Solanum lycopersicum: one gene and its partner. The protein of the gene in region 1 interacts with the protein of each later gene in a pairwise test. Links are inferred from orthologs where the notes say so. Each region holds a gene or a part of one and is shown in the gene's direction. Other genes may lie near its edges.

Region 1 (5,187 bases):
ATAAGTTTAAACATATTAGAAAGTGCTTGACAAAGTCATAAATGACTTAAAATAGTTTTAAAAAAACTTAAAATAAGTTAAAAATCAAAAGTAGCTCTCCTCTTACTTTTTATTTTTGACTTAAAAGTCATTTCAGTTTGACTTTTTATTTTTAACTTAAAAACGACATTTATTAAGCCAATCCAAACGGACTCTTACACTATGTTTGGATCATTGTTATCCATTGTATTGTATTGTTACTATATCTATAATGTTTGTTTTGATTGTTACTTAAAATGTATTGTGTTGTATTGTTAATTTTCTTTGTTACGTAACAATTGAAACCCCTGCTTTATGTAACAACCAATTTGGTGTGTTCCCATTGTTACTTAATTTCTTTTTCCAAAATACTATTTTACCCTTTACCTTAATTATTTAAATATAGTCAAACCCTCTATCCTAGAATAATTAAGGATATTTAAGTAAATTTATAAATTACAATACAATACGATACAATCAAACTAAACAATTAAAATGTTATTAAACAACAACAAACAATACAATCTAGCTAAACATTGTATCTATCATATAATACAGTACAATACAATCTAGCCAAACATTGTATCTACCATACAATACAATACAATAGAGTATGATACAATACAATACATTATGAAATAATGGATAACAATGATCCAAACACAGTGTTAGTATTGAAACTAATTATTATAGTAAATATTGAGTTATTTTAATCATAAATTTAATAATTATTAATAAGGATAAAATGAAATGATGTGCCTAATTTGTGTCTCAGAGTCTGTTTGACATTGTTGTTGGGAGGTCAAATATATTTTTTTTTCTAACAAAATAGTGTTTGGTAAAATACAAAACTGCGTTTAAATGATAGCAGGAACAACTTTTCTGCTGTTGGGATAGAAGAAACTTAAAATTTTAGCTTCTTAAAAAAAGTAAAAGAAGCAACAAATAATTTATCTCTTATTAATTAGTTAACCTATATCATAAATTTGATTAAGTTTCATACAATCTTTTTATTTTTTATTTTTCTATAATAATTTTTTATTTTACGTTTATATACTATTATTATTATTTTACATTTTATATATTATTTACAGAATCATATAATAATGTAACAACAACATTTTGTAGGATTAAAAATATGAAGGATTTTATTTATTTTTATGATGAATTTTTTGTATATAGTGGTTTAATTTGCGTATTAATTTTTAAATTTATTTTCTTGATATTTTGAATTATATTTAAGTTATCATGTTAATATTTTGTATAATATTGATGGAAAATTCAAATATGCATATTTCCATTAAAAAATTTCTAACCGATATTTAAAGTAGTTTCTTTCTATAAAGTAATCTTAGTATAATAAAATTACACTGATACTTACACTTTTGCGTAATTTGACTCACTAAAGCATTATTAAAAAAAAGATTAGTCAAACACAATTTGCATATCAAAAAGACTTTTCAAATGAATAAATCAAACACAAATTACTTACTTTCAAAAACAATTTTTTTAAAAAATGATTTTTCAAAACAAGCAATTTCTAACGGTAATGTCAAACAAACTCTTAATCTTATTTTTTAAAGGGTGTGAAACACCTCAACAATTCAATTAATTCGGAATGGAGGAGTACTAACTAGTATTTAATATTAATTAAGGGTAAAATAGACATAAAAAATAGATTATATCTTTATTTTTCAAATTGAACAAATATTATTAAATAACTATTTTTAATATAATGGACAAGTAAAAATATAGAGAATATTAATAAAATATGATATTAAGGTAAATATTTTATGTGCAATAATAATTAATGTTGTCGCATATAAGTTTTTTTCCTGTTTTGGTCACATATACAATGTAATACTGCATTAAGTTTTTTTCCCGTTTTGGTCTAGAGGTGATTCATGCACTTGGAGCCCATTAAAGAATTTCCCATTTAGGCCCAATAAAAAAAGTTATATAAGAAAGAGTTGGGTCAAGCTTAAGCCCATAAAAAAGCGTCACATTTTGGGTGAGGCGAAAGAGAGGGAAACAGTGGCGGCGCGGCAAAAGTGAGTGTTAAATTCTATTGCTTGAAAAATACCACCCCGCCCGCACCCTGATTTCAAGGGAACCAAAAACTGCACCGACGAGCTTTCATCTTCCATCGGTTTAGAGAGAAAGCCTCGTTAACACCAATTATCTACCAGCCATTCTTCCTATTTTTCATACTCTCATCCACTCACTTACTCTTTCTCTCAAAAATACACATTCACTTTGAAGCCCTAGTTTCCCAGATTCTAAATTCAAACTCTCGCTGTCTGTGATTTCTTTATCTGCAAACAAAGGTAATTCTTGAAAATTTGAAATCTTGAAAGTAGTTTGAGGTTCCGTTTTTCCCTTTTTTTCAAACCCCCATTTGCCTAAATCTAGTAGAAACTAGAAAAAGGGGAAACTTGATACATTTTCCATTTTCCGCTAAATTCATGCATTTGCAACTAGATTTTATTTATTTATTATATTTATTCTACTTAGTGTTTCTTCTTCTTCTTTTTTTTTTAATCTCACCTGAATTTAGTTCTGAATGCTCAAGTTAAAACTTTAGGGATGCATGGGTTTTCTTTATTTAATCTTGAAAGTATTTTAAGGTTCCGTTTTCCTGCTTTTAACCTATTGCAAGCATCGTTGCCCAAATGTGGGTAGAAACAAGAAAAGGGGAAACTTGATGCATTTTACACATCACACTAAATTCATGCATTTGCAACTAAATTTAAATTATAATCTCTAATGTCTTGTCCATTTAGTTTTCAATGCTCAAGTAAAAGCTTTATAGTTGCATAGAGTTTTCTTGAACACTCTTTAGTCAGATGAGTTCAAATCTGAATTGGCTGTTGGATATGGTGTATAATTGCAACTCAAGCTTTGGTCTGCCTCTTTCTTACAGATTAATTTCTAAAAATAAAGGTTTGGATAGACTAGCAAATAGGTTCAAGAAAAAGAAAAAAAGAGTGAATTTCCTACCCTTAGGCTAGGAGATAAGTGAATAAATAATTTGTGTAATACTTGAATCTATAGGTTAGTACTCTCAACAGATATCTATTCGTGCTACATATCCTCATTACTCAAAAGGAGATCATTTAGCCCCTGTTCTTTTTTTTTTTTTTGGCTCAGTTGCATTTATGAAGTTTAGCCAAAAGTAGATAAGTTTTTAATAGTGCCTCTGTAGTATGTGATACAATGAGGTACACATTAGAGAAAATGCCAGCAACGAAATGTTAACTAATATTGTATCAAACATTAATCCTCATTATTTTAAGCGCATATCAACATTTCTATTTTTTTTACTCACACATTTAAGTATTTGGTACAAATAAGTATAACTTATTTTTTTTTAAAAATAACTGCAACTTGATTTGATATATATGTGCTCATGCCTCTCTTTTTGTTCTTGTCAGAGAAGCAATATTGGATTTTCAGTTTGGAGTATAAGAAATTTAGCCCTCCTTGGTCTTTGTGAGAATTGAGAGAGTGAATTTCTAGTGATCTTGTATCACTGAAATATTCATCTCTGCGGGAACTTAGAACTTCAGTACAGAGGTCATTAAGATGAAAATAAAGAGAAGAAACTAACTAGTGGAAAAGCAGGTATAGTAGGATTTACATAGAGGATGACTGTCTTGTGAAGACATTTTTGGTAATGCCAATCGGGAAGTGACGAGACTTCAGCTAGAAGATCAAACCGAGATGTCAACTCTTGGAAACACATCTGTGTCACCTGAAAAGGCAAGAACAGCTGGTGGGGGCCATCACACTGCATCAGCAGGTAATATGTCTGAGAATCTTGGTGCTGACCAATCAAGAGAATCATGTGAAAACACAGTTCAAAATCTTAATCAGTCAGAATATCGAGAGAAATCACCTGGTCAGCCTAGAAAAAGAAAATCTATTTCAGGATCCCCAATTAGCAGTACTAGACTTCTACGTTCGAAGTCGAAGGAGAAGTCTGGAGCTTCTGAGGCAAAAAATACTGTGGTAACTCATGATGCTACCGAGGAAAAGAAAAGAAAAAGGAGAAAGAAAAAACACAGTAAACATATAGCTGCGAACGAATTCACAAGAATCAGGGGCCATCTGAGATACTTATTACAAAGAATAAAATATGAGCAAACCTTGATTGAAGCTTACTCTGGTGAAGGCTGGAAAGGACAAAGGTTAGTTACCTTTTATCAGAATTATTATGCTGTAAATTTAATTGATGAATGCTTAATGAAGGTTGGAAAAGGCAATCTTCTATAACTTATTGCAGCTTTATTGTAGTACACAGTTTTCTGACTTGCAAATACTTGAACACTCATAGCAGCTTTTAGCTTAAATCAATATTTCCTATTTCTGAAGTTTGAACAGTATAAAAGGTTGATATTGATGGAACAAAGGCATAGTTACTTTAGTTTATTGAACCGAGAGATGTTACTCTAAAATATTATACGTTAATGCCTGTATACTGGCCTTCTCCTATATCAATAAAATCATTTACCTTATTCAATAACAAAAAAAGTAGTTGGGAAAGAGTACTTTCAAGCTGTTCATGCCAAATTAGTGTTGCTTTGGTATGATGGTCTAATTACTTGCTCTTTACTGGGAGGAAGCAGGTGTAAGCATACTAACCCTGTAGATTTGTATTGTGCTTTGCTGAAATCTGTCATAGTCTAAGGGCAATGGGTTTAGCACCGACTAGATTTTATTTCCCAAATAAGCTGATTCTATTTTACCCCGTCATGTCACATTCATAAGGCGGGGAGAATATTTATGTTTATATGCCTAGTGCATTGTTTTTGTTTCTATAAAATTATCAGCTCTTTGACCTGAACCCTTAATTGCATTTCCCTGCTTAACCTAGCGTAAAATTATCTTGCTTGTATTTTCTATTTATGTTAAAATTTTGAGAACATACTTTTCAAAGTCACTGTTGGGTTTTATGGTCTCGACACTCTTGCAGCTTAGAAAAGATAAAGCTGGAGAAGGAGCTACAACGAGCGAAGACTCATATTTTTCGTTACAAATTGAAAATAAGAGATTTGTTTCAACGCCTTGATACATTACTTGCTGAAGGGAGGCTTCCAGCATCTTTATTTGACAATGAAGGGGAGATCGACAGTGAAGATGTAGGATATGCTTGTTGGCTGCTATAAT
Region 2 (5,152 bases), on another chromosome or scaffold:
TATGATTATAAACTAATATTGCACCTGTTCATTTCTTGTTGAACATAGGGCATCTTTCGGCGGCTGATATGAGACCTTATGTAAGGAGTGTTAGACATCAAATCCAAAATGTGAGCTACTCTTCCAGGCTTCCATGGGTTCATCTCTACATTTTACTGTCCATGTTTTCAAACACGAACTTTTAGATTATTAGTTTTGTTTCCTAGTTTTCGGGGTTGCATCCCCATCCTATATTGAATAGAGTTTTGGTGCTACGACTTTCAATTTCTAAGCATTCATTTCGCAATTATTGTTACTTCTGATTGAGTTCCTATAAACTCAACTCTTTCATTGTATTAAATTATTTTTCTTTCTAGTTTATAGTATGACTTGGGTTTAGAAATGTTGTTTAAGTTAAGTTTTGGTTGGTTGTTAGTAAAGGTTAGTGTGGGTGTCACTCATGACAGTTTGAATCGTGACATATGAAAATACATATGTTAGGATGAATTTGAGTTCATATCAAATTAGATTAGATAAAGATGATCACATTCGCTAGAAGTTGCAAATAACACACATTAAAAATATAATGTGAGAATGTCGCTCGAAATGATTTGGAGTAATTCTGTGTTAATCTATAGATGCACCGATTTGTAGGTATGAAACTATAGTAAGTGAAGGTATAAAGAGAAAGTGAGTCGGACCTAAAAGAAAGTGATTGCAGTAAACATGTAATTGTTTGATATCAATACATGTTTAAATGAGATAGGACACAATGAAAAAGATCCATTAAGTTGTTGACAACAAGTTAAAGGATAGATCTTAAACTTGTATGAAGCTTTTATTATTATGTATATATATTTTAACATAGTCTTTTACTTCTTAAAATTGATTATGTTAATAATATAATATGAGCTCAAATGACAAATGAGGATTCAGATATCCTTATCTCAATTTATTTGGAATTGAGTTGTAGGTGATGATATTATTTAACTATTGTGACTCACAATATTTCTTTTTTCGTAATTTTAAAATATAATAAATTTTATATCAATTATTTTGAAAATTCTATATTCTAATTCAGATAAAAAATTAGCTAGTTTGACGCTTATACTCCGAATAAAGCGAATATTATTTTTACTTAATTCATATTGTAGGTGAGATTGATTGTTCTAATTTTATTTGTGATTGAGGTATTCTTGTTTTGAACTTAACAACCCTGGTATTAGAATACTAGTGGTAAAGTATCACTACATATAAAATGTTAAATTTGTCTTATCTTGTTTATGATCGGGATATCCTCGTTTTGAACGAAATAAATAGGGTTTTAGAATACCAATGGTAAAATTGTAAATAAACATGGAAATTGAGTTGATTGTTCTTATCTTGTTTATGATCGGGATATCCCTGAACAAAATGATTCCAATATTAGAATATCGTAATAAAAATAAATAAATATAAAAAGTGAAAATGATTGTTCTAATCTTATTTATGATTGGAATGTCCTAGGTTTGAACGTAACGACGCAAATATTAGAATATTATAGTAAATAAAATGTGAAATTAATTTTTTTAATTTCTATTATGATCGAAATATCCTCGTTTGAATGAAACGACACCAATAATTAAATATCTAGTGAAAATAAATAAATATAAAGTTAAAAAATGATTTTCTATTTCTATTTATGATCAGGATATCCTCATTTTGAACTAAACGACGCGAATGTTATAATATGAAGGTGGTAAAATAGTAAATAAACATTTTTATTTATTATTTTTATCATTTAGTTTTGCAATAAAAAGTTAGTACTTAAATTTAGCTGAGTTCTTCATCTCCGCCTGTGTGTCTCTCACTTCCCTAGGAGAACAAAGATATTGCAGTCTTTTAATCTGTAAGTAACATATATTTTCTTGCATACAACTCCAAAGGAATTTACCCAAAAACGTTGATTCTTGGATGATGCTGACTTAGATCCCTTTGTTTCTGATTTTGGGTATATCTCTTTTGCTCTATGGTTTATGCAATCTTTTTTTCTTTGTAAATATGTATAGCTGTGTTGAAATGCATGTGGATCGGGTTTATTGTTTTGATAAGTTTAGTGATAGATTCATTTGATTTATGTGAATGGGTTTCAATCTGTGTTATGGATTTTTTTTTTTTTGTCAAGAATTCAATTTAATGATTTGAGGTATTTCTTTGTTTGATTTTGTGTCATTTTTGTTGTAGGTATGTGATTTTAGAAATCAAAAAGGGTTAAGTATTTGAAAGTTGTTGATAAATCTTAAGTTTTTTTTTTTTTGTAAAAAAGGGATTTTTTTTACTTCTACATTTTCTGCCAATGCTTTAGTTTGATTGTTCTTGTTTTATTGGATTTTAGGTTCCTTCTTGGGTGAATATTTCTTCTCTATTTTTTCATGTGATGCCATTTTCTTTTAATTTGGAAAAATTGGTTCTACTTTGAATGCACATGGCCTGTGGAAAACTAGGGTTTTGTTTTCAATTTAGGGTTCAATAAAAGTAGGTGTTTTTATTAATAGAATCTTGAGTTTGTGGTCACTTAATTGCTATGCTACTCAAACTCTTGTAGGATCCCGTGGGGTGCGTGTTGGATACTCAAAATTAGTAGTTGTGCTCGGTTATATAAATTCACTACAGGATAAACAAACCAATTAAGCTACGTTGCTTGGATTCTCGAAATATGTTTCCGCATCTGCGTCGGATCCTCAAAAATAAGTGTATTTTTTAGGATCCGAGGCAGATGCGGCAATATTTTTGGGGAGTCTGAGCAACATAGTTTTATGGTTTGTTTTTTATGTTGTGAAGTTATTTAACCGAGCACAACTAGTTTGTGACTAAGGCATAGTTGTCGTTCTTCTTCATTGTATTTTAGGTGTTAAACTATTGTGTGTGCTACACGATGATGACATTCTCTAGTTCTGATAAAAACAATATGCAGATATAGAGGTATGTAGTTATTTTGCTGGGAATCTATGAAAAAATCCATTAGCCATCTGAACTAGTTGTTGAACTAACAACATATTCACCTAGTTCAGTTGCACGGACCAAGTGAATGTATAACTATTAGTACTATACAAACTGAAAAAGTTCTCACCTAGTTTAGTTTTTTTTTTAATCGTTATGTCCTCATCTAGATTAGTCGCATTCACTTAATGCGATCGAGGCGTTACGTCTTTAACAATTACTTTCTTACTCTTTTATCAGAAGGAGGAGCCGCTGATTAGTATTCTTAAGAAAAAGGTATGAACAACAACGGGAACCCAAATAGCTTAGCTAGCACATTGATACCTTTTGTTGTGTAGTTATTGTACCTAAGTTCCGTCAGCAACTGTATTCAAACTAGCATAACCACTCTACATATATTTTCAAACTAGAAAAGACGCTTTTACTTGGATGTAACTTGTCTATTACATTTGTTGTTACGCCGTGCTTTAACATTGAATAGTCTGCAAATCTGATACTTCCTTACTTTCATATATTTTCGGGAAGCTGAATGCAGGTAAAATGATTCAATGATATATTCAAATTTTTGATTTTACAAGTTACGTGAAAGGAAAGAGTTCACCAATAGCATTACGATTCTTTATTGTTTACAAGTTGCGTGAAAAAGAAAGATTTTACCAATTGGATAACAATTTTTTATTGTTTATCGTGCGCGAGATCACGTGTTACGATCAATCAATCATAATATGACCATTTATCAAATATAAATATCACTAAGTAGATATAACGTCCTTTCACCTTACCATTATCGTGGCTGACAGGATTGTTTATCCATACATTTCACCTCCCTCTGTGTTTCCATCAATTCGAATGGTCTTTAACTAATGTTTGTGTTAAATAGAAATATTTGTCTCACCTTCCTTTTCAACTAATGGTACACATTGTTTTCTGCGTATTGAACTTGACTTGATGTTCACTAAAATAAAATCAATTTGTGGCTCGTATTGATAGACTTCTTCATAAAAGTGTTTAGAAGAAAGTACTTTCTAAGATTGTAAAATATTAAGCATGTATAATTTTAACTTCTAGACAAGTTCTAATGTGATGATAGGCAGTGTTATCAAAGGCGGGCTTTAAGCGCGCTTAAGCCCTAAAGCGAGGCTCAAAATGTGTTGAGTGCTTCGCCTCGCTTTATGTGCGCTTTAGTGTCATCGTAAAGGTTCTAAGGCAAACATTTCCTCTTATGAAGAATTTGAGGTTAAAAATTGATACTTCACTTTATCATAATTGTTTTCAATTTCTTTGGTCATATATTTGTCATTCTTGTTTATAATTATTAGTCTTGGACTAAACATATATATTTTATTCTTTTCTCCCTTTGCGCCTTTTTTTTTGTTAAAGCCCACACTTTTTGCGCTTAAAGGCCCCACATACCGAGAGCTTTTTCGCGGATGTTAAGGAATAATTATTCTATCTTAAGTAATTATGTTTTCCAATGACATCTCAATAAAATTAGTAGTTTAAAATCAAATTTTAGTTAGAGATCTCAAGTATATATACAATAGCAAACAAAAAAATAATTTAGTGCAATTTTTTTATGTTTTCGTACTTGTTTTCAGTGTAGTATTCTTAACAACCATAATTCTTGTAACTTCGCATAGTTATATTATAATTTTGTATAGTAAGGACTAATTCAAGTTAATAAGATGTTAATCATGTGTTGCATTGCACTAGCTTGAATATTTTTGTGAATTATTTATTTATTAGTATGAAGATTTGAGTAGTTTAAGTCAAAGTTCTAAAATATTTATATTATAAAGTAGGTATATTTTTTACTTTAAATTTTGTACACTCTTTACATTCTTCAATATTGTCCAACCAAATAAAAAATAAGGGTGAGCAGCCCCTCATGTTCATGCAGCCCACCTGATGTTTGTTAGGAAGCTCTCCTTAGTGAACTTAGTTTTTGACATTATTGTAAGGAAAAATTCTTGAAAGATTATCCCCCTTGTGGGAGTGGCATCTCCTAGGAACTTGAATCTGGACTCTTTCACTCATTTTGCTTTTACGGGATGCCATTAATGCCTTACTTTATTAAGAGGAACTCTAGGCTCTAGACTTTAAAATAGTTGTTTTAGCTCTGCTGTCCAAACCCAAAATGTGGCGTACCTTGAACAAAGCTCAGATTCAATTGGTTGATGAACTTATCTGCTTA

Evidence for each region.
Region 2: the proteins of PHD-finger family homeodomain protein (region 1) and methyl-CpG-binding domain-containing protein 2-like interact in binary tests that used the Arabidopsis thaliana proteins (3 or more experiments, as listed by UniProt). The link is inferred for Solanum lycopersicum from reciprocal best matches to the Arabidopsis thaliana genes HAT3.1 and MBD02.

What each region holds. Positions count from the first base shown.
Region 1 is NC_090800.1:91,031,138-91,036,324, forward strand, and holds the start of PHD-finger family homeodomain protein, read left to right. Parts: upstream 1-2,022; 5' UTR 2,023-2,345; intron 2,346-3,452; 5' UTR 3,453-3,741; coding exon 3,742-4,208; intron 4,209-4,993; coding exon 4,994-5,159; intron 5,160-5,187. UniProt on the Arabidopsis thaliana protein: Binds only to large DNA fragments. Recognizes a DNA fragment carrying 8 copies of box7 motif of the light-induced cab-E promoter of Nicotiana plumbaginifolia. Also recognizes the box7m1 motif.
Region 2 is NC_090804.1:62,074,874-62,080,025, forward strand, and holds the start of methyl-CpG-binding domain-containing protein 2-like, read left to right. Parts: upstream 1-1,687; 5' UTR 1,688-1,867; exon of another isoform or gene 1,868-1,969; intron 1,970-3,203; exon of another isoform or gene 3,204-3,234; intron 3,235-5,152. UniProt on the Arabidopsis thaliana protein: Probable transcriptional regulator.